2 linked regions of the Macaca mulatta genome follow. The protein of the gene in region 1 purifies or fractionates together with the protein of each later gene. This does not show direct contact. Links are inferred from orthologs where the notes say so. Each region holds a gene or a part of one and is shown in the gene's direction. Other genes may lie near its edges.

Region 1 (3,647 bases):
AGACAGCAGGGCTTGCTGCATCCTACAGAAGTGTGGGATGACAGACTCTAGCACTGCCAGGGCACAGGTGTGTGATGGACGTGACTGATGCAGGCCTGGCAGAAATGATAGATGTCAGCCGGGCACAGTGGCTCAAGCCTGTAATCCCAGTAGCTTGGGAGGCCAAGGCGGGCAGATCATGAGGTCAGAAGTCCAAGACCAGCCTGGCCAACATGGTGAAACCCTGTCTCTACTAAAAAAAAAAAAAAAAAAAAAAAATACAAAAATTAGCCAGGCATGATGGCGGGTGCCTGTAGTTCCAGGTACTCGGGAGGCCGAGGCAGAAGAATTGCTTGAACCTGGAAAGCGGAGGTTGCAGTGAGCCAAGATCGTGCCATTGCACTCCAGTCTGGGCAACAGAGTGAGACTCTGTCTCAAAAAAAAAAAAAAAAAAATAGATGTCAGGAGAGATGGTAGATAATGGTAGCAAGTAGGACAGACCGGGGAGCCCTTGCCCCATCCATAAGGACAGTTCCTATCAGCTTCAGCCAGTCATGACTATGGAAATGGACCTTCTTTGTGGCCAGATCTTCCATTTCTTAAGGGAAGCTGGAAGTCCCTGTGCCAGGCCAAGCTGCATAACCTCTCTTAGATTTGTTTTCTTCATGAGTAAAACAAGCACTGAGATGAATGCTCCCTATCCCTAACCTCTGCCTTTGATATAACAAACCATTACTGGGGGCGAAAGACATTTGGCCCTGCCCTCAAGGAGCTCACAGTCTGTGGGGCAAGACAGGTGGCCGGATTATCGCAGAGTATGCTGGTGGTGCTGACAGCTGAAAGAGCAGGTCTCTGAGAGGCCAGAAGAGGAGCGGGTGATGGAGCTGAAGGATGACCAGGCACAAAAGTGGACAGGGCCCCTCAGTGGGTGCAGACGGGCTGGGCATGAACGTGCATGGTCACTGAAGGCTGCTGTCCTACAAGCCGTAGGCCCTCCCAGGTGCTTGTTACTGGTAGATTTATGGAGGACCTAAATGACAAACTAAAGCATAGGCCTCAGCCATATTTTGGCCTGTGTAGTATTTTTGTTTTTAAGTTTTCAACGAGTTCCTCTCTCCATCAGAATGGCCTAAGTTGCAGGAGAAAGCCCCATTCAAAAGAGCTTCACTAAGGGGATTGACTCTTACAGTGCACAGAGTCCCAGGTTCCAGCTGCTGAAAAGCTGGTTCCTTCAGCTAAGCATCAGTGGTGACCAGATTTCCATCTCTGTGCTCCATCAGCTTTATGGTCATAGCAGGGCTGCAGCATCTCCTAAAGTGCTGGGGGCAGGCCAGGTGCAGTGGCTCACACCTGTAATCCCAGCACTTTGGGAGGCTGAGACAGGCGGATCACTGGAGGTCAGGAGTTCAAGACCAGCCTGGCCAACATGGCGAAACCTGTCTCTACTAAAAATACAAAAATTAGCTGGGCCTGGTGGCACTGGCCTGTAATCCCAGCTGAGGCAAGAGAATCACTTGAACCCGGGGAGGAGGAGGTGTTGCAGTGAGTAAGATTGTGCCACTGCACTCCAGCCTGGGCGACAGAGTGAGCAGAGCAAGAGTCCATCTCAAAAAAGACTGAGGAGTAGACTTAAGGCTACTCAGACCTCAGGCTGGACGTGCTAGCTACCCTCTTAGCCATAGACAAGAAGCCAGTAGTTCACATGACTGGCTGGGAGGAGGGACCACCCTCCCTGAAGCATGTGGTAGGAGCCACTGAACAGTGAGGGTTCTGTTAGCAAGTAACAGATGGGGGCATGGCTGTTAGGAGGCAGCCAGCAGTGTGCATTGTAGTTGCCCCATTTAAAAATCGGAAATGACGTGCAGATCTTCCAGCTTCTCTTGAGAAATTGGAAGCTCAGGCAGCCTGGGTCCTACTTTCTTGGCTAGGCTGAGTAGGGAAAAGGGGTCCCCCATTCCAGTAGGGACCACTGAGCTGCCATCACCACCAGCATTTCCACCCGGATCTCTTGAGTCGTCCTCTGACTGCAGTGTTCACCAGTCCAGCCCCCATTATCATGCCTGCCCCAGCAGGAGGGTATGGTAGCCAGTGGAACACTTCTAGGCAGCTCCTGCTTTTGGCTGGGGATGTTACAACCAGAGGTGAACTGTGCTGGGACCACTGGCTTGTGCCTGCAACTTTGTCCCAGGCTGCTGTCACCTCTTGTCCAGACCCTGGGCCAACAGCCCTGCAGCCCTCAGGTTTTAGCTGTATCGGAGTCATAAATCCCTTTCACGTTTGAAGTTAGCTCTGGAAGGAGCTAGCAGGGTGGAAGCATGTTTCCGGTGGCTGTGGGGCAGGTCAGAGCAGCAGCTATTCCTGTGCATGTGCAGGAAGGGGCCACGGTGCCTCCCCTGGAAACCAGAGTGCCTGAGGATCATTGCCTGCTGGCTCTTTCCCCCTCAGCAAATGCCCCTCTCCCCGACCACGTGCTTATCCAGGTCTTGTCCCCTCAGAAGGACAGTAACTCCAAACCTGCCAGAAGCAAGACCCTGGCCCCAGCACCTCCAGAGGGGAACACGGAGGGGTCCTCGGAGAGCAGTGAGGAAGAGCTGCCACTGACCCAGGTACGCCATGCCTTCTCTTTGCAGTCGCTGCAGGGTCAGAGCTGGGCTGGCAGGCCTTGCGGGAGAGGGCAGGTCTTTCCCATAGGGAAAAATCTCGTCATATTTAAACAGCATCTCACAGCTTCCAGAGCTCTTTCCTCTATTGTGACATTCGTCTGAGCCCTGTGAGGCAGGCAGCAGTGCACAGTTAAACATACAGGCTTCAGAGTGTTGGGGCGAAGCCCGGCTCTACCACCTAACAGCTCCGTGGTCCTGGGCAGACGCCTTTCTCCTATGTGAGGCTCAATGTTTCAACCATAAAATGGGGTTAGTACTAGTGCCTCCCTCCTGCCTCTGCACTGGAGCCAGCACACGAAGTACTTGCCACAGTCCCCTGCCTAAGAAAGGGTGCCTGGTAACTGTGAGAAGGCCAGGGAGTGTTGCCCCGTTTGACAGATCGGGAATCAAGCCTTAGAGTTGAAGCAGTTTCCCGAAATTCTCATGATTCATAAGAGGCTGAGGAAAGGTGCAAGCACTGGTCCCCTGGCTCCCTATATCTCTGTTGCCTGTTTAGGACCGGGATTCTTCTCAAATCCCATGAGCTTTGCCCAGGACTCTTTCTCAAGCGCCTGTGGCATACCTTCACATGCTCCACTGCACCCAGAGCTTAAGCCACAGTCCTGCCCAGGCTACACCCCCAAGGATGAGACCAGGCCCACCTTATCTCCCTGTACTCCAGAGGCCTAAGTCAGCCATGCTGGTGTGGTTCAAGCTTCTGTGTGAACCCTGGCCCTTCCATCAGACAGCATTACCCTTTGTCCTCCTCTAGCCCCAAGCTCCCAGAAGCTTCTGCCAGGCACCTCAGAGCACCAGCTCCCCTCCCAGGGCCTAACGACAGATCCTGGAGTTCTGCAACCTCCAGACCAGAGTGGTCTCATGAACCACCTCCCCTTGAATATCACATACCATGTTCTTACCAATTCATCAGTAAGGTCAGATGCTGTTTGCACACTTCCAGCAATAGGGTGCTCACTGCCTCTCACTTTCCAATAGCACAGATTACAAAAGTAAAGAACAACCACC
Region 2 (3,647 bases), on another chromosome or scaffold:
ATCAGGCCCACCAAAATCATCCAGGATACTGTCCCCATCTCAAGGCCTTAATTGGATCTGCAAAGTCACTTTTGTCGTTAAGGTCCCAGGTTTGGGGGATCAGGGTGTGGACATCTTTGGGGGACCATTATTCTGCCAACTACAGTAGACATCATAGAAAGATCTATTTAAACCATTGCTGTGAGAACTGGGCTAGGCCAAACTCTTTAGATAAAGAAAACTCAGACACTTGCGGGGCATGGGTTGGCATGGTCTGATGGGGTAGACATGGCCTGTCCCCTGGGGCCCTTGGTCTGATAGGTGTATGGGCGTGTCTGGGCTGCAAGACATGAGACAGGACAGTGGTGGATGTGATAGATGGCTCGTTCTGTCTTCTTGACAGATCCCTCCAAACCTTCCATGCTCTGTGACACTGCAGCCGGGGCCCGAAGACACAGGGAAGGTAGGTTACCCCAAGGGGACCATCTCTCTGGCTCCAGGACTCTCAGGTCCCCAGGTCCCTGGCTTTCTCCCTGGGAGGTGCTGGACACACAGAACCACTCTCCCTGTTGAACAGTGTTAGGCTAAGCTGGTCCCACCTTGGACAACCAGTCTCTCTTTAGACAGGGCAGCAGGTATGGGGTCAGCCTCACTCTCCCATTAAGTGATGGATCCAGAGGCCCTCCTGAGTGGCGTTGGTTGCAACAGGACCAAAGTGTTCTGAGGACCTACACCTGGCCTCACGTAACCCCTGGCAACCTTGAATCAAGGTGTGATCATCCCCATGTCACAGATGGGGAAACTGAGGCTTGGATAGAAGTGACACCACTAGCTGCAGACCTTTGAGCCCAGCTTCCTCATCTGCAAGATGGAGATGACAGCACGTGCCTCCTTGTCTTATTAGAGGGATACCGGAGAAGCCACCCAGGGCCAGGTCTGCACACAGTAGTAGTGGGTGCCCCCAGTCCGCTCAGGTACCTGTTGCTATTTCTGGGCAGCTGCCTAGATGAGGATGGCCACCCAGACTGAGGCAGGAGTCCAAAGAGCAGAGCCCTGTTTGGATGATTTGGGATGTCCCATGTCAGATGGAGGAGGCAGCACAGCACTGGGGCTGAGCACAAGGGCGTTCCCCTGCTTCTTCCAGACCGAGGAGGGCTGGGCTGTGGGAGCTTGGTGTTCCTGTCCAGTGTCCTCGCTTGTTTTTTTTTTTTTTTGTTTTTTTTTTTTTTTTTTTTTTTGAGACGGAGTCTCGCTCTGTCGCCCAGGCTGGAGTGCAGTGGCCGGATCTCAGCTCACTGCAAGCTCCGCCTCCCGGGTTCACGCCATTCTCCTGCCTCAGCCTCCCGAGTAGCTGGGACTACAGGCGCCCACAACCGCGCCCGGCTAATTTTTTGTATTTTTAGTAGAGACGGGGTTTCACCGTGGTCTCGATCTCCTGACCTTGTGATCCGCCCGCCTCGGCCTCCCAAAGTGCTGGGATTACAGGCGTGAGCCACCGCGCCCGGCTCAGTGTCCTCGCTTGTAAAATGAGAGGTAGGCTGGCTGTGTACTGGGGACCCTGCTTCTCCAAGGCCCTGTGGTCAGTGACCCCTTCCCCACAGGCTTGCGGTGTGGACTATGAAGTCAAAGCCTTCTGTGCGGAGAATTTGGAGGAGAAGATCCACAAGCGGTGAGTAGGATGCCAGGGTGTGGGCTGCCTGCTGGGTGAGGGAGGGAGACAGGATGGGCAAAGTCCAAGAGGAGATAAGTAACAATACCTGGAAGTGTGTGAGGAGGGGCGCACATTCCAGCCTTGGAAGGACACTCTGGAAGCTGGGAGGTCACGGAGGGCTTCCTGGGGGAGGTGGCTTTGACTGCCCAGGTTCAGGCTGCCGCATCTTCTCCTTCGCACCGTTGTGGAAGCTTCCTCCCTCATCTCCCTGCCTCTCATTTCATCCCCTCCAGACTGCATGTCTTTTTAATTTGTTTTGGAAAAATCCTAAATTCAGATTGTGTTAAACCGTGAGCAGGCTGTTTCCTGACCATCCCCATTTTCCAGTTTTCCTCTTGGGAGGAGTTCAGCAGGGGTTGAGTGTGTGTCAATGGCAGCTTCTAAGTGAGGAGGAAGTGGAGATAGTGAACCCATCCAGGGCAGAGTGACAGGGAGCTCGGCCCACATCCGAGAGGGGAAGCATTCTCTGGAGAAGCACAGCCTGGGCAGACAGAGAGCCCAGGCTGGCAGCCAGAAACAGCTGGCCCGGATGTCTCAGGCCTGCCCCTCCTGGGTCAGGCTGTGCTCTGCCTGCCTCCTGGAAGAGCTGGTGGGCCCTCAACGCTGATGTTCCTGCATCCAGAGGCACTGTTCCCAGAGGAGGTTGGCTGAGGGCACAGCAGCCTTTTTAGGGCATGGGCTGAGTTTGCCACCTGGTGGCTATAGGGTGTATTGCATACATTTGCATCTGCAGCCCTGCCTGTGTGTGGGGAGATGGGACTTTTCTCCCTTGCTTCTCTGTCTCCCTTTTCCTCTTAAGACCTGAGACAAGGGAAAAGGAAGGGTGCTGTGGGATGTGGGAGGAGGCTTAGCAAGCACAAGAAAGAGGAGGTGACATTGAGAGCCACCCCTCTCACCCTACCACCAATGGGACATTTAAAATCCACACCAAGGAGTTACTAATAATAATGATATAGAAACTATCATTTATCAAGGGCTGATTAGGTGTCAGGCACCATTCACAGTGCTGGGCTGTACGAACTAATTTAATCCTCATAGCAGCTCTAAGAATTAGGTCCTGGCTAGGCGCGGTGGCTCACGCCTGTAATCCCAGAGCTTTGGGAGGCCGAGGCGGGCAGATCACTTGAGGCCAGGAGTTCCAGACCAGCCTGGCCAACATGGTGAAACCCCATCTCTACTGAAAATACAAAAATTAGGCAGGTGTGGTGGCACATGCCTGTAATCCCAGTTGCTCGGAAGACTGAGGCAGGAGAATTGCTTGAACCTGGAAGGCAGAGGTTGTAGTGAGCTGAGATCGCGCCACTGCACTCCAGCTCGGGCAACAGAGTGAGACTCCACCTCAAAATAAATAAATAAATAAAATTTAAAAAGCAAAAAAAGAGATAGGTCCTTCTATCATCACCCTTTACAGATGAGGGAATGGAGGCAGAGAGGTTAATGTACCCAAGGCCACATAGTTAGCAAGAGGAGAGCTGGGAGTTTGACCCTGGCTCCTCCATTCCAGGCAATGGAAGCAGCTTATCTGAGCAATGGAGATGCAGCATTCCCAGCATGCCTCAGAGACGGCCTCACTGAGTCTCCCTCCCTCACCAGATCCTCATTTGCTCCCTGATCCCCTGTAACCTTCGTGGAGCCAGTCTCATCCATGGCCCTTCTCCCCTCCCTGGGCTTGTCCCCTTCACTGGCTTGCATCCCCCTGACTGAATCCACACCTCCTCCCTGAACCCCGACGCCTCCCCAAACCCCATTTCTTCTTGGGACCCCTGTCCCCTCTGCGTAGTTTTACATAATAGATATCTGGCATGTGTTTATTATATGGCACGCACAGTTATAGGTGCTGAGAGTACAGTTGTGAACACCTTAGACACAAATTTCTGTCCTTAAAGAGCTTACACAGTGTCCTGTGTCACCAAAAGAGATGACAGAGGGACACTATTTGTGTAAGGTGACATAGGGA

What was found. Proteins that work in one complex are often made in the same cells at the same time.
Region 2: the proteins of TCOF1 (region 1) and ARRB1 purify together in Homo sapiens (affinity purification with western blotting; 5 studies listed by BioGRID and IntAct, with this or other methods). This does not show direct contact. The link is inferred for Macaca mulatta from reciprocal best matches to the Homo sapiens genes TCOF1 and ARRB1.

The regions. Positions count from the first base shown.
Region 1 is NC_133411.1:159,346,577-159,350,223, forward strand, and holds part of TCOF1 (treacle protein), read left to right. Parts: intron 1-2,474; coding exon 2,475-2,585; intron 2,586-3,647.
Region 2 is NC_133419.1:75,670,008-75,673,654, reverse strand, and holds part of ARRB1 (beta-arrestin-1), read left to right. Parts: intron 1-382; coding exon 383-442; intron 443-1,580; coding exon 1,581-1,648; intron 1,649-3,647. UniProt on the Homo sapiens protein: Functions in regulating agonist-mediated G-protein coupled receptor (GPCR) signaling by mediating both receptor desensitization and resensitization processes.